3 linked regions of the Nothobranchius furzeri genome follow. The protein of the gene in region 2 purifies or fractionates together with the protein of the main gene of each other region. This does not show direct contact. Links are inferred from orthologs where the notes say so. Each region holds a gene or a part of one and is shown on either strand. Other genes may lie near its edges.

Evidence for each region.
Region 1: the proteins of mtmr4 (region 2) and plk1 purify together in Homo sapiens (affinity purification with mass spectrometry; 3 studies listed by BioGRID, with this or other methods). This does not show direct contact. The link is inferred for Nothobranchius furzeri from reciprocal best matches to the Homo sapiens genes MTMR4 and PLK1.
Region 3: the proteins of mtmr4 (region 2) and dnajc10 purify together in Homo sapiens (affinity purification with mass spectrometry; 3 studies listed by BioGRID and IntAct, counting the BioPlex papers as one, with this or other methods). This does not show direct contact. The link is inferred for Nothobranchius furzeri from reciprocal best matches to the Homo sapiens genes MTMR4 and DNAJC10.

What each region holds. Positions count from the first base shown.
Region 1 is NC_091744.1:8,883,086-8,894,493, reverse strand, and holds plk1 (serine/threonine-protein kinase PLK1), read right to left. Parts: upstream 6,572-11,408; 5' UTR 6,392-6,571; coding exon 6,038-6,391; intron 5,723-6,037; coding exon 5,554-5,722; intron 5,444-5,553; coding exon 5,299-5,443; intron 5,225-5,298; coding exon 5,131-5,224; intron 5,050-5,130; coding exon 4,827-5,049; intron 4,703-4,826; coding exon 4,660-4,702; intron 4,547-4,659; coding exon 4,449-4,546; intron 4,317-4,448; coding exon 4,239-4,316; intron 3,614-4,238; coding exon 3,459-3,613; intron 3,373-3,458; coding exon 3,190-3,372; intron 3,109-3,189; coding exon 2,914-3,108; 3' UTR 2,328-2,913; downstream 1-2,327. UniProt on the Homo sapiens protein: Serine/threonine-protein kinase that performs several important functions throughout M phase of the cell cycle, including the regulation of centrosome maturation and spindle assembly, the removal of cohesins from chromosome arms, the inactivation of anaphase-promoting complex/cyclosome (APC/C) inhibitors, and the regulation of mitotic exit and cytokinesis.
Region 2 is NC_091750.1:66,579,652-66,590,279, reverse strand, and holds part of mtmr4 (phosphatidylinositol-3,5-bisphosphate 3-phosphatase MTMR4), read right to left. Parts: intron 10,570-10,628; coding exon 10,540-10,569; intron 10,101-10,539; coding exon 10,018-10,100; intron 8,212-10,017; coding exon 8,045-8,211; intron 7,961-8,044; coding exon 7,864-7,960; intron 5,962-7,863; coding exon 5,848-5,961; intron 5,766-5,847; coding exon 5,575-5,765; intron 1,066-5,574; coding exon 937-1,065; intron 747-936; coding exon 635-746; intron 1-634. UniProt on the Homo sapiens protein: Lipid phosphatase that specifically dephosphorylates the D-3 position of phosphatidylinositol 3-phosphate and phosphatidylinositol 3,5-bisphosphate, generating phosphatidylinositol and phosphatidylinositol 5-phosphate.
Region 3 is NC_091754.1:38,658,268-38,668,895, reverse strand, and holds the start of dnajc10 (dnaJ homolog subfamily C member 10), read right to left. Parts: upstream 9,147-10,628; 5' UTR 9,044-9,146; intron 8,856-9,043; coding exon of another isoform or gene 8,843-8,855; exon of another isoform or gene 8,633-8,842; intron 7,043-8,632; 5' UTR 7,008-7,042; coding exon 6,819-7,007; intron 6,752-6,818; coding exon 6,589-6,751; intron 6,525-6,588; coding exon 6,474-6,524; intron 4,905-6,473; coding exon 4,822-4,904; intron 4,652-4,821; coding exon 4,520-4,651; intron 4,165-4,519; coding exon 4,071-4,164; intron 3,998-4,070; coding exon 3,920-3,997; intron 3,841-3,919; coding exon 3,797-3,840; intron 3,432-3,796; coding exon 3,366-3,431; intron 3,239-3,365; coding exon 3,173-3,238; intron 3,096-3,172; coding exon 3,006-3,095; intron 2,933-3,005; coding exon 2,822-2,932; intron 2,756-2,821; coding exon 2,641-2,755; intron 2,535-2,640; coding exon 2,407-2,534; intron 1-2,406. Other genes in the region: nucleoporin NUP35, read left to right, coding at 10,067-10,079. UniProt on the Homo sapiens protein: Endoplasmic reticulum disulfide reductase involved both in the correct folding of proteins and degradation of misfolded proteins.

The sequences.
Region 1 (11,408 bases), on a different chromosome or scaffold from region 2:
CTCTTAGAAAAGATCTTATGTAGGGAATTACACGGTGGCGCCCTTTTAAGGCAGTTTGTTAACGAAACAGTGTAAAAGTTCATTTTTTTCCTCTTAAAATTTAAGTTTAGGTTATCTGGGTAATTAAATCAACATTTATTTGCCGCATTTTTGGGATGAGTGTTTAATTTGGGCTGATTAGTGCCCTTCTGGTTCTGGATATATCCACTGAGGTTGGACACCAAAGATCAGAGAGGTGGGGCTCTCAACCACGTTCACAACCACAGAGTTTTGATAGACAACATGGATGTTAGCATGAAGGGACTGGGAGGTTTTCCTCCCCTTATCCGGGGTGCGGTCAGCAGCCTAAGCAGAGACCCAGACTTCCATCTTCCAGCCACTTGGGCCAGCTCCTCCAGAGGAGCTAAGCTAACCAATGTGAGCACATATACAAATGTCTACAATTTAGTCATTTTTGTCAAATTTACAAGGCAGAAACACATCCAGCACCATCATTTCAAACACGGGGGCCCCCCAGGGATGTGTGCTGAGCCCCCTCCTCTTCACTCTGCTGACCCACGACTGTACACCATTACACAGCTCTAACCTCTTCATCAAGTTTGCGGATGGCACAACAGTGGTGGGTCTTATAAACCACGGAGATGAGACCGACTACAGGAACGAGGTGAGCCGCCTTACCACATGGTGTGCTGACAACAACCTCTCTCTAAATGTGGAGAAGACCAAGGAGATTGTTGTGGACTTCAGGAGAGCACACACTCAGCATGCTCCTCTGACCATCAACGGTGCGTCTGGAGAGAGTGAGCAGCACCAAGTTCCTTGGTGTGCACATTACAGAGGACCTCCCCTGGACGAACAACACCATAGCATTGGCGAGGAAATCACAGCAGCGTCTCTTCTTCCTCCGCAAACTAAGAAGAGCAAGAGCACCAGCCCCCATCCTGTACACTTTCTACAGAGGCACCATCGAGAGCATCCTGTCGTGCGGCATCACTGTGTGGTATGGAGCCTGCAACGTATCCTGCTTTAAAACCCTCCAACGTATAGTGAGAGCAGCAGAGAAGATCATCAGGGTCTCTCTCCCCTCCCTACCAGACATTGCGGCTGATCCCACTCACCCAATGCAAAGCCTCTTCGAGCTGCTGCCGTCAGGGAGGAGACTGCAGAGTCTCAAGGCCAGGACCAACAGACTGAAGGACAGCTTTATCCATCAGGCAGTTAGGAAGCTAAACTCCCTCCCGGCTCTCCCAACTCTCCTCTCTCTTCCCCCACAGTCTCTCTGAACTTGGTTACTGTTTTTATACTAAATGTTTATTTTCTATCTAGCGAGAGTTTGAGAGTAACGTAATTTCATTTCTCTGTATGTCCTGTACATGTGGCAGAAGTGACAATTAAACTGACTTTGACTTTGAGTTAACTCAAGAGTTCCTCAGACAAAATAAAATTAATGTAAGTGAATGGGGCAGTAAAAGTTATCCTAGTCTGCTTTGCTCTACACCCAGAAGCACATTAGTTGTACTTGTAAATGGGTGCAATGCTTGCTAAACTCGTTTTTCTTCTCTTGTCTGGTTTGATGATAGCCTGGCAAGCTATCCTATATATGTGAATATATAAGGCAAGAATTTGGTGAGACAATCATTTGAAGTCCTCTGTCAGGGATAGTCAACTCCCTTCCCCAAGGGCCAGTATCCAGCAGGTTTTAGTTGTTTCCCTGCTTCAACACACCAGATATTAATCAACGGGTGATTTAACAGCTTCTCCAGAGTTTGATGAGCAGCTGAACAGGTGAATCAACTGTGTTTGTGTAGGGAAACAACTAAAACATGCTGGGCACCAGCCCTCAGGGAACAGAGTTCACTACCTAAGGGAGTTTTCCTCTCCACTGTCGCTTTATGCTTGCTTAGTATGAGGATTGCTGTAAAGTCACTGACACTAGTCAGTGACTTGATGCAATTTGCTGGGTTCCTTATATAGGAAACATTATTTCTGATTGGCTTAATGAACTGACCTGTATTGGAATGTTTATTATGCCTTGAGACAACTCTTGTCGTGATTTGGCGCTATATAAATAAAATTGAATTGAACTACCTCAGCTCTACGTGATTTCACACAAAGCCTGAATAACCTGTGCCGTAAACTGTCTTCACAATTCAGACATGATCAAGTTAAAGCTATGGCACATAAACAAGACCAGAAGATAACATAATGGCCCAGATTGTGTTTTTTTTACTGTAAGAGACCCGTGGACATGACTTTAGGCTTCCAATGGAGCTGAAATTAGCTCAGTATTTTGCACTTTGTTGACTTGAATAAACAAAATGCAAAGATTTGAGAGAATTAACAATTTTTTATTTTTACTTGGAAAAACAATCTTTATTTCATCTTGAGCAGAGGTTTACCCTCTTTAAAATACTCAGCAGTATGTACAAGTTTGTTCACCATCAACCCGCTTAGCCAACAGTTACAAACACAAACAAACAGGAAGAATGTACATGATGAAAACATTAACACGGTCAGTTTCCGCACACACAGACTGGAAAAGCAGACCAGTGCTTTATGAACAGCATGTTGAGAGTCCATCTCTCACAAGACGAACATCTTCCTGAATGATTTAAAACACAAGAACAACAACAGGAAAAAGGAAAGGTTTACAACCAAACGCCTCAACTTCTTAAATGATGCATTTCAACAGCTCTTTTCAAGCTACGTTATTAGTCTTGGTGTTGATAATTAAGCAGTCCATGAAAGGTGAACATAAGAGGAAAACATGTTGGCATATTAAAGTTTAGGTTGATGGAGCACATTGTGTAAGTGTGACATGAAAACCTCTGCTTCGCTTTAAAAAATACACGTAATATTAAAAGTTCTGCGACTAGAAGGGAAAGTGATTGAAGGTTTGAGGAACAAACTAGACTATTGTGCAGGAGAAGAAGCCTTGCTGTCCTGCAGCTTCTCCACCATCTGCTTGGCGTAACGTATGCGGCTAGCCAGCTCCTTACTGCAGCCGAACTCCTCCAGAAGAGACAGCTTGTAAGTGCGGAAGTCTCGCTTCTCGTCGATGTAGGTCACCGCCGACATGAGCGGACACAAGATCAGCTTGGTGTGATCCTGAAAAGCACATAATGATAGAAGATGAGGGATCGCGCACGTGAAGCATCACGCGTTGAGTGAAAGGGTTAACCATCTAACCTGGAAGAAGTTGATCTGAACTGTGCCGTTGCTGAGGTGCAGTACGATGGCGCTTTTCGTCCTAAACCACAAGGAGAGGTAAGGCAGCCGTGCCAGCTCATCTCCCTCCCGCCGCGCCATGTTGGCCCCAGCTTTCAGGAGGTGCTCGCTCATATAGTTACGGAAGTATTTCAGCAGCGTAATCTACAGCCAGAGAGAAATACAAGTCACTGTGATGGCCTTGAAGGGGATAAAATGGAATTAAAAAATAAATAAAAACACTGTCTGACCTTTTTGTTGAGAGTAGCGGGGAAAGAGCGAACGCTGAGGTAGGACTCAGCTGCAGTCTTATCGATGTACTGGAGGCTGTCTCCGTCAGCGTACATGATGAGCCGGGTGTAATCGTTGAACAGAACCCCCACGCTGTTGTCGCAGAGCTGGTAGCCTGGAACAGACATTAAAAACTCTGTAAAGATACTTTTAACAGTACCAGATAACATCTATACAGGGTATCTGCAGGTTTAAGGGAGCCAGATTTAAGACTTTTTAAGACCTTTTTTAAGGCCACTTTGACCAAATTTAAGCTTCTTTTTTTTTTAAATTAAATTTAAGCTATAATTTCCAGCTATTGCCTGGAACCGGTGCTAACCAGGTCGTGAACGTGGGATTAGCCATCCATTTACCATTAATGTTGCACTTCCCCATGGTGCAAACTCCCACTAGCATGCTCATCTAAAAATAGCCCCCTTTCACAACCAACCGAATGTGTACGGTTCCGCTTACGCCAATATCATACACAAAAAATGCCAAACTAACTAGAAATTCATGAAAATTTTATAGAAATAAAAGAATCTTGTTTATTGGGTCTTTGGTAATTTAAGACCGTTGGAAACTATTTAAGGACTATTTGTCATTTTTAAGGATTTTTAAGGCCTTAAATTTGGAAAAGCTAATTTAAGACTTTTTATGGACCTGCAGATACCCTGTATATACTTTTAATAGTCTAAACCAAACTTACAAAGTTAAAATTGCAGCTTATGTGAACAAACAAACGGTCTCCTAACATTTACCTAATCCATATTTATCAGAGTAGTCGACCCATTTGCTGATCCAGAAGATGGGGATGCACGCAGGATCCTCGGCCTCCTCTGGAATTACACAAAAAAACCTTAGATGTAGATTAAAAAGTAGATAACCGCATCCGTTTTGACAAAATTCAGAGAAATAGCAACAGAGACTCCACAAGATCGGTAAAGACGAAGTGAGACACGTCCACTAACCTTGCTGGATGACGGCCCTTTCAGAGGGTTTGGTGGACATGATGCTGTTCAGCTGCTGCAGCATGTCTTTCAGGTAGGGCTCTGATGGTTCAGCCGCCCTGCACACACACACATTTAAAGGTTAACAACATCTACGCAAAGAAAAGATAAAAACTAACAGAACTAGAATTTTTATAAAATGTTTGTCATGTGATAAATAAATGAAAAACACCTTTGCATAGGCTCGTCTTTCACCTCCGTTTTCTCCGTACCAACTGGGAACAAAGAAAAAAAAAACGTTAACATCTAAAACAAGACTAATAAAATCTATGTGGATCAACTCAAACATCATTGCCTAGGAAAAATAAAAACAAAGATTTTCATTTTGATCGCCATTACCCTTGTTTAGAGCAGTCAGAGGACGCCGCTGGCTGAGCTCTGCAGTTGTGGAGGGGGCGATGGAGAACCGAGGGGGTACAGTAAGACACGTGGTGGGCAGACGGAGGGGGATGTAGCCGGACGTAAAGAACTCATCGGCCTGCACTTCAGCAACGCTTGGCCTCTGTGCAGGATCGGCGTGCAGCATCTTCTTGATCAGAGTCGCCGCAGTCGGGGTGATGTGCTGCAGGTTGTTCAGATCATACGACTCAATTATTAACTTAATTTTAGAAAGAAAACGGTGCATTCAGTTTGATTTTCATACCCAGGGGATGGTGTAGTTGTTCTTCTTGATGCGACTGTAGGTGTCCTTCAAACAGGAGGTCTCAAACGGGGGCTTGCCCACCAACAGAGTGTACCTGAAAGAACAGAAAAGGGAAGCTTTCACAGCTGGGACATTTCAAATGAGTTGCGTTTGTGGGCCTGTACTTACAATATGCACCCAAGTGACCAGACATCGACCTCATAGCTGTGGCCCTTTTTACAAAGCACTTCTGGTGCTATGTAGTTGGGCGTTCCACACAAAGTCTTCTTTCGTTCGCCTTCAAACTCGATCTTAGTCGCCAAGCCAAAGTCCCCTAAACAAGAGAGAACACGTAATAACGAGGCATGCTTTGATTCAAATCCTTCTCGACGTGATAAAAACAAAAGATCTAGTGCAAGCTACAAGTCCAAGCAAGTGGAGTACCAATTTTGACATCCATGTCGTCGTTGAGGAAGATATTGCCCAGTTTCAGGTCTCTGTGGATGACCTTGTTGTTGTGCAGGTACTGGACACCCTTCAGCAGCTGGGCCATGTAGTAGCGAGCTTCAGGCTCCGTCACAGCCTTGCGGCGTTTGTGCAGCTCCAGCAAGGACTGAAATAAAGCATTTTAAACAGTCAAGACAACAGCTCAAGAAAAGAGTGATCTTTTATGCGTTTAATTATAAGATTGAACATATGGTACACATGGGGCCACCAGAGTGGTACTGGACCAATAAACCCACATTTATAGGCTAGAAGTTTCTTTTTAAGATGTTTTTATCAAAGATCAAATAGTTGTGAGGTGTTAAATGAGTCTGGTACTGCTTGCTTCCCACTATTTAAACATGAGGACAACGGAAGATGTCGCAGTGTTTAACCGTCGGCTCTAAACCTCACTGAAAAGCTGGTTTCCTTCCATCGTACTCACCCTTCTCCTGCAGATCTCCAGGACCACAAACACATGGTCATCGTCTTCGAAAAACCCGTGGAAGCCGACGATGTTAGCGTGATCCAGACTCTTGTGTATGGCGATTTCCGAGGTCATCTTATCCCTTTGGTGCTGCTTTTGTAACAAATACTTAGCTACGATCTTGCCAGCAAACACCGTCTTCGTCTCTACATCTGTGATCTCGTAGCATTTGGCGAAACCACCCTTCCCGAGGAATCTCCCCCTCGTGTATCTTTTCATGGTTCGGGAATCAACGAGAATTTCTGGGATTTCTTTGAGAGGTGCCGATTTGGGATCCGCACGTTCCAACGGCTTTGCGGTACCAGCACTCATTTTGTATTAGAGCTGTCTTCTATGAACTTACAGGAATGTTTATTTTCTCTCCGCGCAGTAAACGTGGTGAAAACTACAAGAATCAAACTACTAACCCTAACACAACCGACGTTACTTTAGCCTAGCTAGCTAACTTTCTCCCATACACGTCTGAATTTAAATCTAATCACGAGTTTAGACTTCCTGAAAGCAAGCGATAATTAACATTAGGTTCTACAATTATAAAACGACATATATAGACATAAATATTAAAATAAATCTGCTTTCCTCATGGAATAATTCAGCAGACGTGTCCGACGGCGGCGTCTCCTGTGTTCTGTTCTGCCCTTCGAAAACAGTTTCTAGTATTAAGTTAAATGCTCGCTCTGTCGCCACGGCGCTTTCTCATTGGTCCACTTGATTTGAATTCTACGCAAAGCATTGTGGGAAGAAAAATGCAAAACTAGCCAATCAACGGGGTTGAAATAAAGTTCTAACATCGTGATTGGCTCAATGACGTCTTGCGTTTCCTTAACGCAAAGGCTGATGGTAAATGTAGACTAGTGTTAGATTTTACTTGATTTTATCGTCATCCAGAATCCAAGAAGGATTTAATTTTAACATGTAATCATATTATTAAACTGGATAAAACAGTGAAACGACAGTGTGGTCAAAATAAAAACGAAAATTGAAATAAAATAAGACGAAATGCACAAACGTTTTGAGTAATAAAAGCATGTTTGCAAAAACGATATCGGCACAGAACTATTAAATTGTGTATTTCTACAGTTAAAAGGTAAATTGAGAAAATCATGATGTTGCAAAAAATTACATTATTGATAGTTTAATTCACTTTCACACATATTCCACTGGGTGGCAGCAGTGGACAAATTCACAATTATTGTTCCTTGAGAAAGCACTTTTTTCAGACCAATCACACAATAAGCACTTCATATGACACAGCACGGATTCACAGCTGTAAATAATGAGATCATAAATAGATTATTGTCATGATGGTCTAGAATTAACTTTATAAATGTCTAATCATTAAATAGGTAACATCATCTTAAAATAAAAATTTCAGTCCACAACACTTTTTCCAGGGAATCATTTTCTGTTGAAGCCTCCCATAGTTATTAAAACAAAAAGTAAGAGTGCACAGCTAGTGGCTGATTTGACTTTGTTATAAGGGGGGATGTTTAATATAGGGACTATTTACTATGCACACACTCTTTAAAATATGTGTGTTTTACAGTTTTTTGTTTTTTCACTTTGTGTGTTTGTTTATAAATGGTCTTCAGGCTTTAGTCCGACTGGTGGGTGATGTGTGGAGATTGCTGGCTTATATGTGTCTGTTCCATTTTTGCACATTCATCCTTCTCTTCTGCTGCCATGTGTTTCCATGGCAACACACAGAAGATGCTGTAGGGAAAACTAAATGAAGTAAGCTTGTCTGTGCTTGTATGGGTCAACATTTACACACATTTAGTTTATTACACAGGATTTTGCAGAGAGCTGAACGTCCTCTGCAGAGGGGCACAAAGAAAGTAGAGTAGGTTACCTCCCTCCATGTTTCATCTTCTTTTCTTCCACAGTTTTGGCTCACTGGAATCTCAAGGGTGCTGTGAGCTCTTTAATTTTTCACCTACATAAAGTAAAGCGTTAGCAAAACCAGGACAAAGGATGTTTTTTCCTAAATCAGAACAACATGCTTGCCACATTTAGAATACATATTTCAGCCAAAGATATGTAAATATAGAATAAAATTAATCAAAATGTCTGTCTTCAAAAGTGATGGTGAAATCTAAAAGTTATGTGGAGAATGCAAACTTTTAGTTTTCACTTTATAATAATGAATGACCTAAAAAGACTGTAGGGACTGTTTTAAATATTCAAATGATGCTAGCACTATGCATTTGTTTGTAATGTTTGCCAGGGACCAAGGACAGGAAAAATGATCTGTTGAAAAGAGAAATAGTGTATGATATTTGTATTCTAATCCGTGTTGGGATTAAAGATCCAATGTAACTAAATATGGTGTGATAATTTCCTCCAGCTTTTCATTTTATACTCATTGGGACCTTAAAGGATTAAAGTTTCATTTATTCACTATTAAGTAAATTGTAAAATAATCAGATTGTCTTATTAACTATCTATTTCTTTTTTTTTTTTACCTTTTTTTCTCCAGCTCAGGGAAATTATAAACAGACGTGTTTAATAATAATAATAATAATACATTTTATTTAAAAGCGCCTTTCAGAACACCCAAGGTCACTGGGTGCAACTTAAATACAAATATTGACATACTGCAACAGCTCTGTTCTTCAGCACTATTTTCCAGCATGCTATTTTCTTTCCAATAAAACTTTTATACTGTCAATGAAAATCAATACATTTACTTTTCTCATATTTCTATATAATCTTATCTTTATATACTTTTACTTTTAAATGTTGTTTTTCCTGTACCACAAAGATGAGAGAAAAACACTGTATTGATTCACCTGTATGTCCTGAACATATAAAAGACAATTTGATTCTATGCATGGCTTGCAGTACGTGGATAAAGGACATTGAAACACTGGTTACAAATTTGAAAAAGTTAAATGAAACATAAAGAAAATGTAATGAAATTGATTTGATTCTAAACCAAAGGGAAATAATTTCACTTTAAATCGTTATTCTTGCAAAAGAACCACAAGAATTCCTTTACATTCATTCAAAACGTAGCCATTTTAAAGGCGTGGGAAACTTGTTTAATCAATACATTTGCAGTGGTCTCTGGTATGAATGCCTTGCAAATGGGGCAAAAAAATCCCAGAATGGCTTGGATCAGCACAGACAAATCTGCTGCTGCAGAAAGTGGTAGCAGACAGCAGGATTTGGAGTCTTATTTCCTAATGTTGAGGGTCTGCCCTCATGAGGAAATTACTATGCAGTAATTTCTCCAAAAGACTGTGTCATCTGCGCTCTGAAAAAGCAGATATTAAAAATCAGCGCCAGCAACAACTTCATGTCCCATGAGCCTTTGCACCCGGAAGCAGCGTGATGACGTCACCAAAGCGGAGCCGAACCCCGGAACCCACAGCTTCCTCCCGCCGGACAGCCGAGTCTATAAAAGGGAGACAGAACGAAACTTATCTGTCTTTTGTTCCAGTTCAACTGGCATGAAGACGCACTCGTTTGCTGCGGCTCTGGACAGCATGTGCACGAGACCTAGCTGCTGAAGTGGATGGAACACCGAGCTACTGGAAGCAATGGAGAATGCCGATTGAACACTGAGGGACGCCTCGCTGTTCGTTCGTTCAAAGTTTTAACTCTCTCTCTTTCTCTTCCGCTTCTCTAACATAGTTCAGAACAAGCAATCAAACCGCGCGATTTGCTTTAAAGTAGCACCGGGCTCTACATCGTACCAAAAACGCCATCGGATCATCTTAAGAGTAAGCCGTTTTGCTTCTTTCATTGTAATATCTAAGGTTTTGAGCTGTGGCCACAGCATAAAATAAATATTTAGATATTTAATTTGCCTTTGAGTGATCTTTTGTTTTGTTTATTGATCTTTGTGAAGCGGTTTTGAAGTTTGTTAAGTTTTACTGTGCATGAAAGTTTGCTCACATCACTGTTGAAAGATGAACACACACACACACACACACATACATGTTTTAGTGTTGGTAGGGGACATGACTAAAACACACACTTATTGGGTCAGATTGTTTTACATTATCATTTCATTGTTTCATTGTTTGTGTTTGTTTGATAAAATAAGTTGGTTAATATTGATTGGCTAAACGCTTCAGAAGGAGCTGTAGTGATTGTATTAGTTAATAAATGTTTTGCCAATTCAGTTTTGTCTCAACTGAATTTGTTTGTGTGATATGAATTTATGACTGCTGCTCGTAAATGAATTTTACTAACTTTAAGACAGACTGATAAGAGGTTTTGGATTCATTGTTCCCCTGTTAAAGCGGTGGTGCCCCGAGGATATCTCCGGATATCCTAATTACGTAATAAAATCGGTAACTATTTCCATATTTACGAATTTTATTGAAGAATCCAAAAAGTAAGTAAAAGCCTACAAATTATTCGTTGACTAATAATCACAACACTGATATTTGGACATTTTGCCTCTGGTTGGTTAACATAAAGTGACTCTAGCACTTACTGCATTTGCAACGTGGATGTTTTATCTCCACAAGGACACAAGCCTAGAGGAGTTCTGCTGTGTGGTGGAGTTGCTAATGCTAACAGTTAGCTTTCGGGATGTTGTCTGCTGATTCCTGGACGTTAAACCAACAACAGCCTTCCCCTGTCACGAGTCAATATGGGCGAGTCCATGAACATTAAGTGAAAGTGTGACGTAGATGTGTCAGGATTTTCAAATCCTAGAGTTTCACCGTCTGCTTTCTCTCAGAAGCTAATTCAATTCAATTCAATTCAAAAATACTTTATTGATCCCAGAGGGAAATTGATTGCTGTAGTAGCTCATAATAATAATAATAATAATAATAATAATAATAATAATAATAAAGTCGTCAAAGAGTTATTGTATATTACAATGGCTGTTGGCAGGAAGGATCTCCAGTAGCGGTCAGTGTTGCAGCGAAATTGAAGACTCTGACTGAAGACACTCTTCCGTTGTCAGACAGTCTTGTGAAGAGAATGCTCAGGGTTGTCCATAATTTTCTTGATTCTCTGGAGAATCCTTCTTTGCATTATCTCCTCCAGTTGTTCCACAGTCATCCCCAAAACAGAAACAGCCTTTTTTATTAGGCTGTTGAGCCTTTTCAGGTCCCTGCTTCTGATGCTGACAGCACCTGATTTATCATTGCCCATTATGATCGATGGAAGAGATGGTTTGAATTTCCGCTTTCTCTGTCTCCGTTTTGCTCCCGCTCTGCACCCACGCTTCTTGCGTTTTAGCTCATTTGGGATTTGTGGCTTCAGTTGAGGTATTATTTCAACCTTTCCAATGTTAATCAGCTGCTCCCGATTGTAAACCAGCTTGTTACCGTGGTTTACGCATCACAACAAATGCTCAAAA
Region 2 (10,628 bases):
GTTTTAACATAAATGTGCAAATTATTTTCAATAAAAACAGTTTTAGATGATCATCACTTTGTTTTGTGAATGCTCGCTAAATGGATCAGGCTCAGAATGTCGCATTAAATACAGTCCAAGCTGAAACGTACTCTGTTAAGTTTCTGACTAACAAAATGTGATTTTAAAACACCGAGCATCTTTCATTCTGAAATTCATCAGATTTTTTTAATCATGCTTGAGCAAAGGTCACAGCAGTAGGTTATTTTTCTAGCTGTAGTTACCACAGCGAGTAGTGAGCAACCCTCAGAGACTGTCGTTCTTGTAGTAAAGTTCCCACATATCAATTCTTGTTACTCTAAGGTCACTTAGCAACAGTTTAAAAACAGATATAATCGAACACAGGGAGCCTCTGACCTACTTCTGTATCACTACACACCTCAATCACAACAAAAAGCCTAAAAATAACCTGCAACACTCTAGCTGCTGGGATCGCTCGGGTAGTTTATATTTATCCTCTCAGTAGCAGAAAACTCATTGAAAAACAAACGCAGTCACTGAGATGGTCATTTTAGTCTGGTGTTATTTTACTGCATGCATCAAAAAAAGACCGGGGGGGGGGGGGGGGGGGGGGGCGCTAAAGAGATCGACTTACTTTCCGGGATCTGGGATCTGACTGCAGACAGCCCTCAGACCCTGGAAGCTGTTGCGGATGGCATGGATGTTGGCCATCCCCATGAACATCACCTCACAGTTCGGGTAGTACTCTAAACACAAAAACAACTCAGATGTAGGTCAAACTCTGTAGGATACCAACAGCATTCAGCCCATCTTTAAATTACAGCTGGGGTGACCATCAATCAAGTTTGAAGCACTGGAGATGGTGTTTGAAACTAGAAAACAAAAGTCAACAACTACTTAATTGAAAAGATTTCATAAACGTTTGATCACACTAACCCTCGCATTCACAGCCTCCACCCTTGGCTCTGTTAGCCACTGCAGCAGTGTAGGAGCGAGCGTCAAGGATCAGCAGCTTTTGTGGTACCGAGCTGTCGTCACTACCAGAAACACCTGCCAGAGACGAGTCTGAGGAAAGAGACAGCAGGACAGAAATCAAGAATCAGCAAAGTGATGTGGACACAGACTAAAAACTATATGTAAGCAACTGAAAGTCAATATTTCTTCCTGATGACGACTGCTGGAGGTCTGCTAATATTGTTGTTGGACTGATGGTGAGTGATTGCTCACTGAACACTCTGCACATGTGTCTGAAAAAGTCTTAAACCGCTTTCAGCTCTTCACACTTTGACATGTGGTGTCATTGCCAAAAAGTGAAAATCGCATTAAAAAAGGATGTGGGGTTGTTTGTGACCAGATCTCATTCTGAAACTTTCCATAACCCGAACAGATTTCTTTTCTAACACCGCAGATCGTCAACAAAAGGACCAAAAATACAAAATGATAAATAAATGCTCTAGTAAAAACTGGTGATGCTGCTGAATGAGACTAAAAGAAATAAACAAATTCAAAATAAAGAAAATGGAACACATTTTGACTTCTATTAATGAAACAGATAAATAAAAATAGAATGTGGCTTCTGCTTCAATAAAGTAAACGCACAGACCGAGTGTTTTCTGCTAAAATGTTTATGTTTTAGTGGGTTAAAGCAGCTTATTTTTGCTGCCTGTCTTAATGCCTATTTCTGAAAATTTCTTCTTTGCCTTCATGCAACATCGAATCAAAGCTTAAAGCAATACTTAAGCATTTTAAACAGTTTAAGTTATTGCTTTCTAACTAGTGTCAGTGGTTCTTGAGGACTTGAGCAGCTTCACATTGAGCAGCCCTCTGCAGCACTCTGCTGACCAGAAACTGCACTTCACAGTTTTGTGGTTCAGGTCGGTACCAGTGGAAAGCGCTCTACCGGCTTTATAGCAGTAGCTGTTTAGTGTGCTGGTAGCTAATATGACTAGCAGTTCGCTTTTTCAGTTCCTCGACTGTCAACATCATGACTGAGCGTGGAAGTATAAGTAAGCAAGTGATGTTTTTGTAGGCAAAGCAAAGACATAAAACCAGAGTGAACATTAGCGTGGCCTACACTCACTCGAAGCTGAAGAAGGCTATGAAATCACAGACTGATTGTGACCTGGCTTTGTTGCTACTGGACTTTTAAGTAATATTATTGTGGCTTATTTAGTATCAGGTGGTTCATGTTAGTGTAGGCCCATTAGCACGGTCTACGACAGGTTCATGACAGCTGTAATTCTGCTTTCAACCAGTAGGAGGGAAAAGCAGAACATGTATTTGGTAATGCTTTAAACATGTTGCGTAAGACTGTTGGGTAGGATTTTGTTAGTGAATTAAACTGGCACTTGGCTGTGGTTTTTAACCTTTTATTATTTATTCCTGAACTGCTTGTTTTAAAGTCATGTTTTTTGCTTGCCTGTAGCCCTTTGAGATCTCCTGCTATAAAGGGCGCTGTAAATTAAATTCATTATTAAATCAGAAACCATTATATTTAAAAAATGGAGACAATATATTAAGCTTTAATTATTTACTCGTGATGCACAAACTCCAGACACGAGGTCTTCATGTAAGAATGGGATGTGTAAAACAGTATTAAAACCTCAGCTGAAAAAGGTTTTTGAATTTTCACAGCTGGATTTGGAAGAAAATCCCGTGTTTTTAAATAGCACTCAAAATAAAAGATAGCTTCCGATCTGAGCCCAAACCAGCTGATGACATCCTGCCGGGAACAGTGGCGGTGTAGGTACCGGATCTGCTCGGGCTGCCAGACTGGCTTAGGGCATTGCGCTTGCCAATGATGTCACAGTATAGACACACCAACCGGCTTTCACGCATACATTTTTGAAAAAGTTTAGTAGTTTTGTTAATAAATTCTTGTTTCTTATTGCCTAAATGTTTTTATAGCTGTAATTTGTTAATAAATCATATTGTCTTTATTTTGTAAATTATGTGAAACTACACAAAAGGCACAAGAGTCCTTATAGGTGAAAATTTTTAAATGTATTTATTTAATTAGAATCCATTTCCATTTGTATAAATGTGGAATTTCTTCTGTATATTTGACAATTCTGATGTAAATATAGAAATCCATTAATTCAAAATGTTTGCCACTTGTTCAATAAAGTTATTTTATTTTAATTTGGCCCGTTACATCAAAACCAAGAGCTGCTGAAGGTCTTAGTTTATCAGTTGATATTTTGTTTTAAATTTTACATTTCCTTTGGCAATACAAACATTTTCCCTGAAGTGTTTGGACCAATCAAAATTTGCTGCGTCAACGTGGTACCGTACCTTCCGTAAGTCCTACGTTCAGCCAATTAAACATTAGTCAGATGCAGCTTCTGAAACCTCTGATAGTCAGTCACTTTTTTCCCTTTTGGATACAACGATGAGACGTTTAACCAAATTCCGACCAGCTGGAGGTGCAGACGTGTTTGAGACTGACTCAGAAGGCCGGCAAGTCAATATGGACACCAAGGGGAATTCTGTACATCTTCAGAAATTGGTACCATTTGTTTACTTTGTTGAATGTTAAATTTTCTCGTAGTGCTTCTACCGGGAGCTTGCTGCTGATGAGTTCTTAGATGACTATAGGTCTTAGCTCCATCATACTGTCCCAATAGGGAGCCTAAGTCTCCTCTCTTTCTGGTCGGCTCAGGGGTCCCCAGAAGAACGAAAAAATTAGGGATGTCCCGATCCGATCACATGATCGGAAATCTGCCCCGAACACGTGGTTTCAGACTGATCGGGACTTGGGCTTTACTTCCCGATTCAAGCCCCGATCCGGAGTTGGATGCTGGGTTCAAATTACAGGAGAGCAACTTGGTTCTCCTTAAAGGTTGCCAGGCTCCCCTGATGCCCTTAACTTACACACCCAGAAGGAGCACAGAAAAGATCCAGTTTCTACCTTTATTATATTATTTATATGGACTCAGCGTAGCGGGGATCCTTTTGAGCAGAGCAGCAGGCAGACCGCTGATTATTCATGAACTCCAGCTGCGTTCTGCACACGGCCACAGTAACATTTTCTAAGTTTCTAAGTGGCGTCACCAAAAATATATAATTAACACACAGTCGTTCGTGTCCGTTCATTTTCTCTCTGGTAAGTTCCGTCTGTATTTGAGCATGACGTGTGGACGCGCTCGCGCTGCAGCACTCGTCACTGGCGCAGCCGGGCAGCGCAGAACACACTCCGCTTTTTTTGCGGTCAATAGATCAACTTGATCGGCTAGTTAAAAAGTTACTTGTGAAGTGAAAAAGAAGGAAGCAGGCAGGAGTTTTTCTGGAGGACTGGGAGATGCAGGAAGATCAGAGACAGACAGGACAGGAAGATAGAAAAATAAAAACCAAGAAAACAAAACAAAGTTCTTAACAAAATAAAATGTAGGTAGATTTATCCCACTACACGTTTGTATCTATATAAAGCAATAATCTATCAGCATGTAGTATTTATATAGTTGATACGATTCAGATCATCTTCAAAACTCCGACCCATGCCCAGGGACGTATCTAAGCATTTTGGGGGCCGAGGCAAAATAGACCCCTGCCAGGTATTTTAAGTTGAAGTGCTATCTGTTGTTATGTTAGACTTTTTATATTTGTAATAAAGACCAAAAGTGAAGAATTTATGTTATTTGTTACTTGATTGTTCAAGCTACCTCACAGAAGTGATCTGTTGTTAAAATAAAAATGTAATTAAATAAAAAATAAGGAACATTCTGGAACTGTTTCTTCCGTTTCTTTATTTTTTATTATGTATCGAAAGTATCGGATCGGGACTCGGTATCGACAGATTCTCAAAATCAAATGACTCGGACTCGAGGGCAAAAAAAACCTGATCGGGACATCCCTAGAAAAACATTAATGCAAGTCAATGGGGCTAAAAGAGCTATTTTCTGGATCACACATATGTTATACCTCTTTAAATGAAAAGTAATGACGGGTGTTTTGACCACGTCAGTGACATACTTTGAGATTGATCAGCTTGTAAAAGTTTAAATCTCTTCTCCCCCAGCGTAGCTGCTACTTGGTGGTTGGTTCTTTCCTCCTGAAGGAAGGATCTGAAGTTCACTGATCTCACAGCCATTTTCCCTCTGTTTTTCTCTCTGTTTGGTTTGATGATGTCACTTTTGTGAAGCGTATTTGTAGTCCTAACCTAAAATGGCATTTCCCCCTGTTCAAAAATAAGCGCTTTCTTGGTATCAACATGCGTCTTTAAAATTCACGAACATCATATGTGAAATCCATGGCACATAACAAGCGGAATTAGAAAATTGCCTTTCAGCCCCTTGCATTCCTTTTTTGTTCTCCTGGGGAACCAGGGTCCGGAAGTAGACGGGCGTAACTTAGGCTCTCTAAATAATCCAATAACCTCCAGAACAATAAAACAATGAGCTGCCAGTATTACCACTGTGTATATACTGATATAACTCCATACATATATATTTTTAATATTCAGTCGACATCTTACCAGAATATTTTTTTGAGGTGCATATGGTAAAGTGTAGTTACACTGAATTTCAACAGTTTTCATGCAGAGTCTGACCAATATCTTAAGAACAGCAACTTTACCAAAATCACTGTCAGAAGGGTCTGGGGCGTCCCCTCGCTGTCGGTTGACTGTTGTTCCTTTGGCTCCGGTGTCCATGTGACATGCCTTAGCTATGGACGTGACCAGGTACTCATCATCTGTGTTTCTCCAGCCCCACCAGCTGATCTCAGGCTGGCTGCAACGAGCAATCACGGCTCCATTCTTTTGGTGCCTGAAAAACAAGCTAGATTCAATTCTAAGATCCATACTACAAAAGGCTGATGCTCAGCCCACCATGAGTCTGGAAACCGCACCTGTAGACCACCACAGGTATCCTCTTCCAGGACCTGAAGGAAGCCACACTCTCCAGCTCCTTATCTGTGATCCATATTGGAACCAGAAGCTTCTGCGGGTAGCTGGAACACAACCTAGTGGAGAAGGTGAGAGTTTATTTTTAATGCTGCTCTGACAGAAAACCAATCTCCGCATCACTGCCACTCCATCTGTCTCTGATCTCCTCAGTAACTCTCCCATGATACATCTTCAGTTCCTATTCACCTGCTGAGAGACGGGCTGTGTGAGGAAAGTAAAACATTAAGCTGAGTCATGGACCTCAGCAGGTGGCTGTTTGTGTAATTAGTCAGTTGTCCTGTGTGTCCGTCTCTCTCAGCAGGATGTGATCTTCAGGAAGACTGACCTTTTTATTGCAGGATCACAAAGGAGACACGATGCACCGACTGAATTATCTGTTTATGCTTAGTCTTTGGAAACGGTTGTGTTACTACTAGGGATGTAAGAAAATATCGATATGGCAATATATCGTGATATTTTTTCCTGCTATTATTACATCGATATTCAAAAGCCGTGTATCTAATTCTTGAAAAAACTAACATGCAAACATTTGTTTATTTTCTTTTCGTTTTGTGCAATTCAATTGCCACCCGCTAGTTGGCAGCAGTGTGCAATGGGTTTTGTTTCCACCATTGAAATGTAAAACCCTCCATCATGGTTCAGATACCTCATGTTAAACATGTTACGTATCAGTTTGGACTGTTTATTGAACATTCTTACAAAAAATTCAGTAAAAAAAAAAATGCTTGTAACGTCTGACTGAATGTATCGCAATATATCGTGATACATCGTATCGTCTCACCTGTATCATGATATGTATCGTATTGCCAGAATTTCACCAATACACATCCCTGGTTACTACTACTACTAATAATAATAATTGTTTTTATTTTTAATCTAATTATTCAACACAGTTGGTTGTTTTATATTGTTACTTCCTCAGGAAAAACACCCCCTAAGTGGTTTGTGGCTTCATGCATGCATTTTTCTGTCTAAGCTGCAAATCGTCTCGCCTGCCTAGCAAGCTGGTTGGGAGGGGGGCTGAGTTGGACATGATGGCATGATTCTGTTGTCTCTGGGTCTGCAGTTGTGTACTATATTGTGTAGAAGTAATGCATCTCGAAAATAACTAATATTTCATCAAAAATTACAACTCAATAGTACCAACGGTAATATTTTATCATATGATGTGCCTACCATTGCTCTGGAAGGTGTAAAATAGCATGATACAGCCCCTGTAACGGCTAGAGTCATCTCCGTTTGTCAACACAAATCTCATGAACCACTGGAGGGATTACAAAGAAACTCTCAGACAGTAATCTTTGGATGTACCTCTACAATGAAGGAACTTTCAGATTGTCTTTGACAATAGGCAATTGCTTACTGATAAATAACCAAGGATTAAACACCTGACCTGATCAAGTACACGTGTTCATAAAGAGTGAAACAGCTTCAGCTGAAAGGACATTCTACCGATGATTAATCACAAACTTTTCTTCACACAATCTCCTGTGTTTAGAGTTTAGATCACACACACACAAAAAAAAGAGATGGACAATATATCGGCATCAATATCTGTATCGGCCGATGTTAGTCATTGTTTAACATATCGATATGGGTTTGATAAATAAAGCCAGGCCGATATTAACAGATATTTTTTATATCTTGTCTCCATTTGTTTGCCTGTTTCAGAGGGTGAGGTGTAATTGTTTAGACATGTGAACAGTGAATGAATCATCGCAGAACCATAAATGTGTGTGTTGTGTGTACATAATAATGTAAATTCAGCTTTAATCATTTTCATTCTGTACAAAATCTGCTGATTTTAGAAGAATTTATGTCAGCAGCGGCCCAAAAATTTCATATCTATCACAAAAAAATAAAATAAAATAAAAAAAAAGCACAAAAGGACATTTTGCAACTGTTAGCGGCAGCGCAGCTTAAGTACTTTATACCATTACTCTGTTAATGTGACATACTTGTAGTTGCAGTTGATGTCAGACACCCTCCAGACATTTTGTGTGTCGAAGCCCATTCTCCTGACCTCCATTTCCATTCTGTAGCGCACGTGATCGCCTGCTCGGACAGAAAACAATTGGTTTATTAAAAAAATAAAATAAAAACAGGTAGCTCAACATCATCGTGTTGTGGGATGCAAACCTGGGCGACACAGATGAACATGCTGGTCTTCGTCATCTACATTGCCTCCAAGACACCACGCATGATAGGCCAGGGCAAATAAGTCCTCTAACCGAGACGGGTGGGCTATAGCCCGGTTCAGACGCTTCACCCACTCCTGGCACTGCTTGAATGTTGCAAAGTGGCATCTGTAAAAATTATTACATTTAAAGACATCCATAATAAACATAGACCTGCAGAGCTACAGCACCAAAAGCATCTCAAGTCTAGCCTGGCCAGCCAAACTCGTCCTCTGTTTATTTCTACACAGATAACTAGTCTGGATACTCAAGAGCCAGAGAGGCACATGAGGGGTGGGACGAGCCAGCTCAAAAATAACCAGTCAAAAAAAAAAGGCGGATATGCTGACTGTACTGTAGTTTTCTTTTAGCTGTAGTCAAAAATGGCGTCTGGCAATGATGCAAACATTTTTCTTTAGAAAAACGATTTTTAGTACTTCTTGTTGTGGTGGTTTTAAAGACATGTTCAAGTCATTTAGAACAGAGGAAAGAGCCGCAGTAAACGCCGCTTCAGTCTTCGTTGTTTATGAGAAACCCAGCGTTGCGGTGTGTGTGTGTGTGTGTGTGTGTGTGTACGCTGCTCAGCACTGATTGGCTCGGTTGGAATTCTTAGGTGGTGAGGTTATTTGAATAGAAGAGTTCTCAGACCCATTCCCATAAGGAAGTATGGGACTGGCTGTTCAGACTGTCTAAAGTCCCCACTGTTTATACAACTTTACAGATAATTATACTAATTTCTCCCTTAAACCCTTTTTAGTTTAATGTACATTTTCTTCCATATGTTCTGGGAAAAATTAGGAGTCACAGTGAAATCTAATAAAAAATACACCAATAAAAACGACTACACTGAACTTAAACTTGTCAAGTTTATTATAGCGACATCTAATGGCCCAAACTGTAACCTGCAAACAAGGTAAAGCCTTCTAATGAGCTCAAAAACAGTTTGCTGCAAGTTGCATTCATGCATTCTTTGTTACTTACAGACTATAATAGTAAACAACATGACAGCGAGAGAAAGGTGAGTAGAAGTGTTGTAGGATGCAAGATGCCATTTCTACAGTGACAGTAAAGCAGAAATTCTCATTTTTACACAGTCAAACATGAATAAAACCATTCACCTTTAATTCTGTACAGAGAAACTTGCAATTTTCTTTTGGCATCTGATTAATTATGAAACTAAAAGGGACACAAATGAAATGTCTTATGGTGATGTTGCAGTAAATAACAAGAAGATAAAGTAAATACTAAAATAAATTCTTATTCCGAGTATCAAAACTACGCAATAAGCTCAGCTGAAGCGTTGGTCTTGGTTGAAAGCTTTGGTCTTTCTGGGAGTTTCTGTGGATAACAGACTTGCTGCAACTGGAACTATTTTAGATGGTGGAAAGAACCATCAGTCATCAGAACCACACTGCCTTTCTCGGATTTGTTTATTTTTAGTCTGAGATAGAATGACAACTGATAGAAAGCATTGATCCTTACAAGAGTATAACAAACAGAAATGAACTTCAGTAACCGTGGTTTCACTGCTGTCACAGATTTTCTCTGTTCGGCTCCACTTTGTACTGGGAGAGGTAAAAATAAAGGTTCTGCAGATACCTCCTAAAGTTTTTTTTTTTAGAAATCTGTATATTGTTGATCAGCTACTTGTCATGAAGGCAACACTTTTTGACACTTAACATCTTTTTATTAGCAAACAGGAGCTGAATCATTTTCACCCAGGAGGGGGCGGGGCTATTGCGCAGGGCCAAGATATTGAATTAAAACCATCGACATACATACATTAAAACTAATAAGAGTTTCTAAAGATATTCTTGTATAAAATATTTAGAAGTAAAGCTTGGTGAACTGTGGTAAATTACTTAAGAAAATTGAATTTTTGCACTGTATATGAAAATAAACACCAAAATCAATAAACCTAGCTCCTCTTCCCACCTGACAACTTTCGAGTCTTTGCAGATTATGTGCAGCTGGAACATATCCCTGCTTTCCACACTTTCTATCAGTCTGAGCGGCACCTGTAGAGGGAGACAGAGAGCATTCATAATCAGCATGATGATCTGCTGACACAGCAGAAAGCACATCTGAGACCATCACCCTCCAGTCCAGCACAGCACAGTCTGCGTCCCGACTAGCTACACAAAGGGAGACTTTAAACACAGTTTGAAAGGAGAATACCCCTCTTGGCCTCTTATGAGCCTAAATCACAGCTCTAAATTTAATGCATTCTCTTGTTTTTGCAAAGACTGACACACTTTTGGACCCATATTCATTTGCAGCATCTTTATAATTGCCATTTCTCTGGGTAACCCCAGTTCAACAATCAGAAAACTAAGTCATTGTCACATTCCTGCTTAATAATAGTGACATGCTTGTTAACCATGTAGTGAAGAGGAGCTGAAGCACAATGCCGTCTGGACTGTGGTAGAGTGTGATGTTTAATCACCGGGTACTCACAGAAATCTCATTGTCCACACCAGGGTAGGTCTAAAGCACAATGATACCATGGAGCCAACACAAAGAAGGGGGGGAGGACATGACAGGAG
Region 3 (10,628 bases), on a different chromosome or scaffold from region 2:
AGCCTCTACAAGATAATGCATTTTAGCCTGTATTTCTATATATTCTGCGGACACTGTGCAACTTTTTCATTTGTAGCGGTTTCAGCTCACACCGTACATCTGGTAGCAACACGTCGGACTTAAAATGTGCTAAAAATAGCAGTTTTTACAACACGTCAGACTTTTTATTGTGTTGTTATTGATGTCTGTTGTCCCTCGGGACTGCTGCAGGAGGACACATGTATTTATGAGGAAAACGAAAGAAAGTAAATAAATGTTTTATGATCAGTATAACTTGACATAATCACGGCAAACATGCTTTCTCGGCGATCCTTGTTATTATGAGAAAAAAAAGTGCAGAAATTAAAACGATCGTATGTTAGGGAAACAGCTGGCGAGCCATGTTTGCGCATGCGCCGTGAGCGGTTCTGGTGCTGTTTGGACCGCAGCCGCTCGCATTTGTTTACAGTGAAGCCGTTCTGGCTGCTCTCGTGACTGCCTGTACCTGTTTTGTCTACATGTGTGTGTTTAACCTTGGTCAGGTTGTGTTGCGGAGTCAAGTTCCTATGCTCTGGGTCGCTGGAGCACTGGCAATAAAGCTTATTCTGATTCTGAAGTAAAGTTGAAGTGCTGAAGTTTTGAAAACTAATTTTGAATAAAACTTGAAGAATAACTGGCAATTGCGTGCTCATTTTAAGAGGTCTTTCATATTTTATAACATGCTATTTGATATAATGGATTACAAACACAAAAGGGTAATTTATTAGAGTACTCGATTACAAAAATATTCAATAGCTGCAGCCCTACATCCCAGTTCTTGCATGGCCAGCATCCTCACCAGACATGTCACCTATTGAGCATGTTTGCGATGCTCTGGATTGGCGTATACAACAGCGTGTTCCAGTTCCTGCCAATATTCAGCAACTTCTCACAGCTATTGAAGTGGAGAGGACCAACGTTCCACAGGCCTCAATCAACAACCTGATCAACTCTATAGAGACGGAGATGTGTTGCTTCGATAAAATTTAACACCATACAACTGTTTGTATTTAAATATTGTGGTGTTGGCTTCCGCTCTGATGGGTCGAATGATGGCTGCCTAAAGCAAACGCTCCCGACTTCATTACTCGTTTTCTCAACCTATCTAACTTGAAACCTAAAAAACACAAACTGAAAGTGTTGGGTATTATTTTTTGGAACAAAAATGCACAGGAAATTCAAGAAAATCGGTTTAAGAGAACGCAGTGAAGTGGAAGAAGATGCTTCGTCACAAGCTAGCAGTAACATGGAGGATGAGCAGCAACCTGGAGCTAATGCTAACGTGAAAGACCACCCCACTACCATGGATATGATACTGAAAGAGTTGCGTGATCTTAGAAAATACACAAATGAGCAGTTTAACGCCATAAGAGAGAAAGTGAACAATGTTGGAAAGCGACTCGATGAAGCAGAGGGTCGCATAGACGGAGTGGAGACTCGAATCCAGTCCTCGGAGGAGCCGCTAATGGAATTAGCAAAACTTCAGATGCGATATGAAACAAAGCTGCTGGACCTGGAGGGCTGCTCACGGCGTGAAGGAAAGGGAAGAGGACACATTCCCATCTGTTGAAAAATGTATAGAAACTCTGTTTGAAAAAATATTGGATCAATCTTCTCCAGCACTAGGGATTGAAAGAGCGCATAGTGCTATCGCCGAGAAACCCTCTGTTGGGGCCCCAACACGCTCATTTGTTTTCAAATTGGCAAGTTATCGTACCAAAGAGGATATACTCAGGAAGGCTTGGCGCGCAAAGGGGGTTGACTTCCAAGGCACCAGGATACATCTAGACAATGATGATGCCCCAGAGATGCAACGAAGAAGAGAATATGCAGCAGCAAAGAAGGTGCTCAAGGAGAATAATATTCACTTCCAATCACCTTTCCCGGCCACATTGTTTGTGATTGCTTACAGAGTAGTGAGGACACGGAGTGTTTTCCCAGCAGTTCGTCTGACTACTATCATAAACTACTGCCAAGGGCAAAACGTCATCCTCTCTGGTGCTTTCACACTGCACAAACGTTACATAAATGTATAAAATTTAGCTTACCTCGACTTTTGTAAAGTGTCTGGTGCCACCCGACAGCATGTGTCATTTGTTTTACAAACTTCCGCGTAACGGACTCCGTAGTTTTCAAAAAGTTTATTTTTAAGTAAATTGTGGCGTGTTTTCCCAAATACTGCTGCAGTCCGAGCAAGGCAGTTTCTTTAAAATATTCCATTTTAGTAGCCATTAGCAGAGCACTGTGCGTTGTTGTGTGCGTCAGCGCCAGAAAATCAACGTTTATCGTCCAGTAGCACGAAAGTCAACAACAAAGGTTCCACCTTACTTGAACTGCAAGCTCTCACTAAACCTCCTGAGAAGAGGTGACCCTGCCAGGACTACAAACCGGAGCAAAGAAGTCCACCAGCCATGGCTCCTTCCTATCTGAGGGGAAGATGTCCGGCCACAGCGTTGTCACATGGGCACGGATGCTGTCTCTGGCAAAGGCCACGATGTTGTATAACACGTGTTTACCTGCACACACACATGGGTTACACACAACACACACACGGGATACACACACACACAGGTGAGAGCGGAACCTGCACATGAACATACATGCAAGAAGAACTTTACTGACCATGGAAGATCTCAAAGTCCTGGATTCCAAGTCCCTTAAAGACCGCCACACATGGTTTATGAACATAGAGGGACTGACACAGCGCTGGGTCTGCTATGCAGTCCACCCTGCCAACCTGAGGGGACACACTGTTAGCTGGACGGGGACACCGGCCGGCAGAGACACAGACTGGGCCCAGTACCTGTACGTGGTCGTTCAGTAGAAAAGCTTGGAGCTTCTTGTACTCGTTAGAGGCGGAGCTTCTGCCACCAAAGGTGAAACTGACCACCCAGCGATGACGGGCCAGTTTGTCCTGTAAATGATGACGGTCACATGAGACCATCATCTGAACACGCGTGTGTAAATCCGCATCTGCGTTGTCCTACCTTGAAGCTGTCAGTGGTCAGCAGTTCCAGATCCGGTAGATGGTTCAGAACCAGGCTGTAGATTTCTTTGGTGTCCAGCGTCTTCAGCCACTGAAGCACAGCACCACCACATCAGTGCTGCAGGAATGTATGCGTAAGGGTACTTCAGTGTGTGCTCTGCCTCTTACCAGTATGCGGTCTTGCTGATCTAGAGCATTGTCCGGTGGGAACAAACCAGTAGCTCCACTGGTCACCTGCAACACACACATCCCCATAACCTGTAACTAGTGGACCACAGCTCTGATGAGGCATGTTGGGCGGTTATCCGTTCAGCTGGTGGACAGGACAGAAGTCTCTCCATCAACCTGAGGACAGTCTTACCTGGAAGCTTTCACAGAGCTGCTGCTGGTCGGTGCAGTCCATCCATCCCACCTTAACCAGACCGTCCTACACAATCCAGAAAGCAACAGTAGCACAAAGTATATGAACCAGTTCCACATCAGTGACAGGCCCTGGCAACAGCAGGAAGCTACCAGAGGAGCGCGCCATGAAACATCTCACCTCTGCTCTGAATGTAATGACTTCCTCCTCAGTAAAAGCTATTATTCAACAGATATGTTGAAATCTGTTACTGCTCATACCACTTCTAATCAGTCTGTTCTGTAAAGAAGTGTCTGTTTTCACTCAGAGTCCCACATGTTAGTAGTCTAGCTGATGCCCCACCAGGCTGCTGTGGGATCAGGCCTTTGGGGGCTTTCTGGCTCCAATATCAAACATTTGTGTCCTTTGGGGTCTTTCTACTTCATTCTCACCAACATTCCAGCAAGTTTCTGCCTTGTCCTGGGCTCCAGACAGTCTGAGGGACACAAACAGGAACGCTTGTCAGAAGTGTTCATGCAGACAGGAGCAGGTTCAGGTGGGGTGTCAGGAGTTACCTCCGGTGTCGAAGCAGAAGGTGATCAGCCAGCTGAGACTGGATGCAAAAGCAGCCTCCAACTCCCTGAACACGTTACCTACAAAAGGTATGGCACCACAGGTGAGACAGCCGAGCCTAATCCTCACACACACACTCACACACACACACACCCTGCCACAGCTGGGTCACACCGGTGGTGATGAACTGCATAGAGAAGCGGACCAGGTCCTCTTTGGTTCTCTCCATGGTGAACTTCTCAGGAGTCTGCAGAAACACAGAGAAGATGCCGTAGAGCCACACCAGCAGGAACATCAGCAGTGCTGCAAATCCCAAACAAAGGGTGGCAGACGGCAGTGGGACACGGCATCTGGGGTTGGATCGGGACCAGGAGACACGTCATCAGTGGATGTATCTGTGGACGAGCTGCCTCTGTCCCTAGTGAGAGGACATTTCCCACAGACGCTGTAACTACCCACAGGTCTGTCCTTTCAGCAGACAATGTGGACAAATAAATGAAGGGTGGATGGAGGAGGAGGCGACTAACCCTCCAACTGTCCCTGCTTTCGGTAACTTATTTCTGTCCTCTGGGCCGCGCTCCAGGGCGGTCCAGAGGACATACCTGTCCTGCTCTGTAGATGTACAGGCTGGGGTAGCTGCTGATGCCCCTCCTCCTGCAGAGGTAGTTGTTGTCTCCACAGTTCACTGCTCCGATCCGGATCACTCCATCCATCTCTTTGGCAAACTCCCTCCACTGGGTCACAAACAATCGAGAAAGACAAGAAAACATGAGCGTCACCTCACACAGACAGAAGCCTTCATGTTTACAAACTGAAGATTTGGACTTTGTTAAGTTCATGCAACGCGTTTGCTTCCACCAGACGTCAGCTGGACCGGGTGGTGTTCATGTTTGAGCTTCAGTACCGTTGGAGCCAGCTGGTGGCAGTGTGAGCATCGTGGGAAATAAAAGTTGATGAACCAGATCTCTCCAGAGTTTACAGCAGCGTCTGAAACACACACAGGTCTCATGCTTTGTTTTTAACCATCACGGGTGACACTGACAAAAAACTAGAATCTGGTGCAAAGGTCCATCTGTCAGTACTCCAGCTCAGACTGCGAGACCATCTAAAGGCCCAGGAACCCTCTGCAGGTGTTCTGGATTCATTAGTCAATCTGTGACTAGAATATTGAATCTTTTCACAATATTCTGACCGTCTGAGGTTTTGAATGTGGGGCTTTCATCAGCTGTACACCATGATCATCACAGTTAGAACAAATAACAGCTGATAAATCACTGCCTGGCCAAAAAAGTCTCCACCTGGGTTTAACTAAGCAAACAGGTAGGGACCTCCTATTGGATAATTACTGCATAGGTGATTATCTCTCTGCTGGAACAAGTTATTTAACCCAACTGGTGCACTGAGCTAGCCCAGAGAACAAGACCAAATTCTTGCTTTGCTAACTTTGGTCTAGGAACGATCCGCTGGAACCTCCGCAGCCTCTAGCGGCATTCTGGCTGTCCAATCACAGCTGTCTAGAGGGGTCTCAACACATAGAGAGCTGTAATTGGTGCATAATGGTGGGCCAATCACAGCTCTTCATCCGCTTTGTGGGCCAATCAGGGCCCTTTATTCATCTGGAGGGCGGGATGATGCAACAGAGTGGGACAAGATGGTGGCAGCTCGTTGGAAACAGCTTTACATCAATGTTGGACTTGGTTTCTATTAGAACCAGGAGCAGATAGATGTATAAGATAAAAGGATGTGTTTTCAACTTCTTCAACTGCGGACCGCCTCGTTTATAGACATCCGTTGCAGTTGTCCACTAGCATGTGGAGACTGAGTGAAAGACAATGTTAGAACCCACCTCACGATGGGGGGGGGGGGGGGGGGTGAAGGTGCATCAGGGTAAGAAGAGAGGCAGATGAAGTGATGCACCCATCATGCCTAGTGCCTACTGTACAAGCCTGTGGGGGCAATGTTATGATCTGGGCTTGCTGCAGGTGGTCAGGTCTAGGTTCAGCAACAGGATGTGCTCTAAGAATGAGGTCAGCTGACTACCTGAACATCCTGAATGACCAGGTTATTCCATCTTCCCTGATGGCACGGCCATATTCCAAGATGACAATGCCAGGATTCATCAGGCTCAGATAGTGAAAGAGTGGTTCAGGGAGCATGAGACGTCATTCTCACACATGGATTGGCCACCACAGAGTCCAGACCTTAACCCCATTGAGAACCTTTGGGATGTGCTGGAGAAGGCTTTGTACAGCGGTCAGACTCCACCGTCATCAGTGGTGATCATGGTAAGACGTTAGCGCAACACTGATGGAGACAAGTCTGGTGACGCCACAGAGAATGTGTGTCGTAATCAAAGCTAAAGGCGGTCCAGCAGAATGTGTGTGACCTCTTTATTGGTGGTGTGTTTGGGCCGGGTGCTGTATTTGGTTTAACATGGAATGAGTGTCTCAGACGTTAGTTTCGCCTTTTAGGTTGAATTACTGACATAAATGAACTTTGCACCATAATTCTCTTCTTTCAGTCTCTCTGACGCTAAAACATGAATCCAGATCTTACCGAAGTCTCCGCTATCCAAAGTGATGATCTCCAGATCGTCGTCGTAAATTCCTGTAAACAGAGCACGTTAAACACCTACGTCCTGGTTGCAGAGCAGATGCTGGTAGCGTCCTACCAAAGTCATATCTGTAGTAGTTCCAGCTCTCGTAACGTCCTCCCTGCTGCTCGTCCAGTCCCTTTTCTCCATATTTATCATATTTCTTTCTCAGGTCCTCGTCTTTCAGAACCTCATAGGCCCGGTTTACTCTCAGGAACTTGTCGTGGGCCAACGGGTCGCCCTAGAACATGTATGTGTTTTAATCAGCAGAAAACATTTGTTGGGGTGAACATTTGAGAGTGACTGACTGGGTTTTTGTCGGGGTGCATGGTGAGCGCCAGCTTCTTGAACGCCTGTCGTATCTCTCTGGTGGTTGCCTCCTTGCTAACTCCCAGCAGGTCGTAGTAGTCTGAGCTGTCCGGCCTGCAGAGCACCGTTACCAGCAGGACGAGGAGCAGCAGCGCGGGCCCAACAGGCCTCACAACCCTGAATCCCATCTCCTGCTCTCCCAGAACAGTTAGAGAACCTGGAACTGGAGAAGAACTTGTATTTGTCAGTCACCACTGCTACAAAACGGTGATGATGAAAAGGAAAAAACCTTTTCTTTCCCATTTCATGACCTGACCAGCAAGAATTTTGATTCCAGTCTCAGTAAAAGTGTGTTCTCTAGACCTGACTGCGTTTGTTTCAGCAGTTTACCTTTGGACGCGCTTCCTCACATTACTGGCATACTGGTTCCATAAAGACCACGTGATGATTAGTCCTAGACCCGCTGTTCCAAAGCAGCCCGGGGATGGACTGAGGTCGAAGGTCAGACTGCCAAGATGGTTCAATTCAATTCAATTCAAGTTTATCTATATAGCGCCAAATCACGACAAGAGTCGTCTCAAGGCACTTCACATAATAAAAATTCCAATTCAGGTCAGTTCATTAAGCCAATCAGAAATAATGTTTCCTATATAAGGAACCCAGCAAATTGCATCAAGTCACTGACTGGTGCGTGTGCTGGGATGGGGGAGGGGTGTCATTTTCTCTCTCTCTCTCTCTCTCTCTCTCTCTCTCTCTCTCTCTCTCTCTCTCTCTCTCTCTCTCTCTCTCTCTCTCTCTCTCTCTCTCTCTCTCTCTCTCTCTCTCTCTCTCATATTATTTATATCCACCAATAATATTAATACTATTTATAGCATGGATTGAAAGGCTTTGAGCCAAAGACGATATCAGACATTTATATGAGTCGTGGAGGATGGCTGCTTATACTGAGCCAGGATCCTCTGGAGGTTTCTTCCTGTTAAAAGGGAGTTTTCCTCTCCACTGTCGCTGCATGCTTGCTTATGTATGCGGATTGCTGTAAAGACTCTGACACTAGTCAGTGACTCGATGCAACCTGCTGGGTTCCTTATTTAGGAAACATTTTACTGATTGGCTTAATGAACTGACCTGTATTAGAATATTTTATTATGTGAAGGTCCTTGAGACAACTCGTCGTGATTTGGCGCTTTATAAATAAACTTCAATTGAATTGAGTGAATAATAATGATGCTGCTGTAAAATTCCACCTCCAGTCCACACCCAGACACAATTATTCTCTCTTCTGTCTCATGAACAGCAGCTGGGATGTTTATGCCCACAACACACTCCTCTGGTTTTGACTTTTTCTTTCTTGTGTTTGCTCCTCATCTATATTTCTGTTTGGATGCCATCTCTTCCACACCTGACTTGGTTGATCAGGTGCTGCATGCCGTTAGTCATTGTGGGAACTTGAACAGCATCATACAGTGGATGGCTGGTATTTACTTGGACACGGACAGAGATGGGTTTTCAGAAATCTCAGAGGTTTTGACTAATAAATGACCGGTTAAACTACCGGTAGTCATCATACCCTGGAAAAAAGGCCCCGGTACTAAAGCACTGGGATGTAGACGTCACACAAGGTCCTCCTATAGAAAGAGAAAACTCCCCCCAAGGATAAAAGTGTTATCACCAGAGGGAGGGGCATCCTTTTTCTTTGATATTACTCATTTGTACATCTTTAATTAAATCAACTACTACATGTTGACTTTCTGAGCTGAATAAACAAATATGTTCTGGTCTGACTGAAGGACCAAAGAGATGTTACTTAGCTCACATTATACAACAGAAGCCCACGACTCATCAGGGGATGGAGAGGAGTACCCACAGTAGTTTCTGCTCGTTAAACAACAACAGACAGCTACAGCTTATAAACTGGACTCTCCCATATTCCAGTCAGAACTGACAAAGCTCCTCGGAGGACAAGAGAAACGTCTTCAAGAAACCAGAGGAGTCCAGCTGCCTTCATCTGAACGCTTGGATCACCATGACCTGGATGAGTGAGAATCTGCACCAGAACACCTCACACTGTTTGTTTTACGTCCTTAAACACATACAAAAGTATCCACTTGTGCTAAGCTAGCGGATCATTTAGCTCTGCAGCTTATACGGCTGACACAACTAAACTGATTATCCTCTAGAGTTCATCTTATTTGTATTCAATCGAACAAAACTGTAGTTCCGTCACCTTTCGTGCGTTTTAACTCCTACACGTCCGAGATCCGTATCAGCGTCCGGCTCTAGCCGGCAACAAGCTAAGCACAACACAGCAAATTGCATCCGGTTATTGGTTTTCAAAATAAAACTCAAACAGCCAAGTAGCTGGTAGATGTGCAAATTAAGCAAAGTCTAGAAACGCGGTTCGTAAAACTGAAACGACTCCGAGCTGGACTAGTGTCAGGAAACAGAGCTAAGTTATGTGATGAGCAAGAGCCTCTAGTCCTCTACGGGCTTGTATGAACCAGAAAGATGCTGCTGGCTTTTATTTTCACAACACACTGACACATTTCAAACTACTTCTGGTGTGTTGATGAGCTTTAAAATTCAGGGTGTAATTATATGACGTGTAGTTGAGCGTGTTCGACAAAGAAGTTACAAAACTAGTGAACTACTCCAAATTGTATGTAATTAATCTGGCATGCCAGGCTAACGAAGCGGGATTTTAATGAAAACGCATTATTTTTTTACCAAACATTTACACTTGAGCACATTCTGCCCAGCACTGTGCTGACATCAGCCAAAAAAGCAAAGGTTGAGAGATTGTTTTGGAGTGGTTCCCGCTTTTAATCCCTTTATTTATTCAGATGAAAACTAAAATTCTTTATAAACCACAAAAGTTTTTAATGTGTGAACATAACTTTTAGCTTAAATTTAGAACACAGATGCACAGCTTTCATGCTTGTGGAGTCTCTCGTCTTCAAAGCACGGCAAGAGAAGAGGATGCGAAGTGCGAACATCTTTCACGAAACGCACTTTTGGTGACGTCATCCACGAGCGCCGGAAGTTATTCGGTGTTTACTCGTTCAATCAGAGTTCATATACATGAGAGAATTTCCACAAACAGGTTCGTTCCAACCGAACGGATCATATCGCGTTTGTAGGTACGGTTTGCTGGCAGGCTAGCTGTGTGTGCGACAACCGCGAGAAGTAAGAGCAGGAGTAGGATCGTCAGCGGTCGTCACTTCCTTCTTTTGAAAATCGCGGCATCAGAATGGAGTCACAAGGTAGATAAAAGTTTTCTACAAAGTTCTGGTGTTGTTTTCTTACTATCGGGGCTGGCTGCCTTTATATGCAGTCACATGCTTAGTCCCGTTTGCACCCGTAGTGGTTTCCCTGGAAGAATACTGACACGCGGCAGCAGGTTTGGTTTAGGACTTCAGATCAGCTCGTGGGTTTTATTCTAATTTGGAACCATTTTCCTGAACCCACTGCGAACCCACTTTGGTCACCATTGTTTATCTTCAGAATTTGACAATTTTCGTGCTGCTTTCATAACAGCCTTAACCTGTGAACGTTAGGACACAGCTCTCATCTTTTTAAATGTGGATCATTTCACTGAAATGCAATCCAAGATGATTATGATGCAGACTAGAGGCTGACCAACATGGTTTCTTAAGGAAGGCCGATACCAATTCTTAAAAATTTTTGTTGCCAATGGTCGATATCTAGAGCCGATTACACACACACACACACACACACACACACACACACACACACACACACACACACACACACACACACACACACACACACACACACACACACACACACAC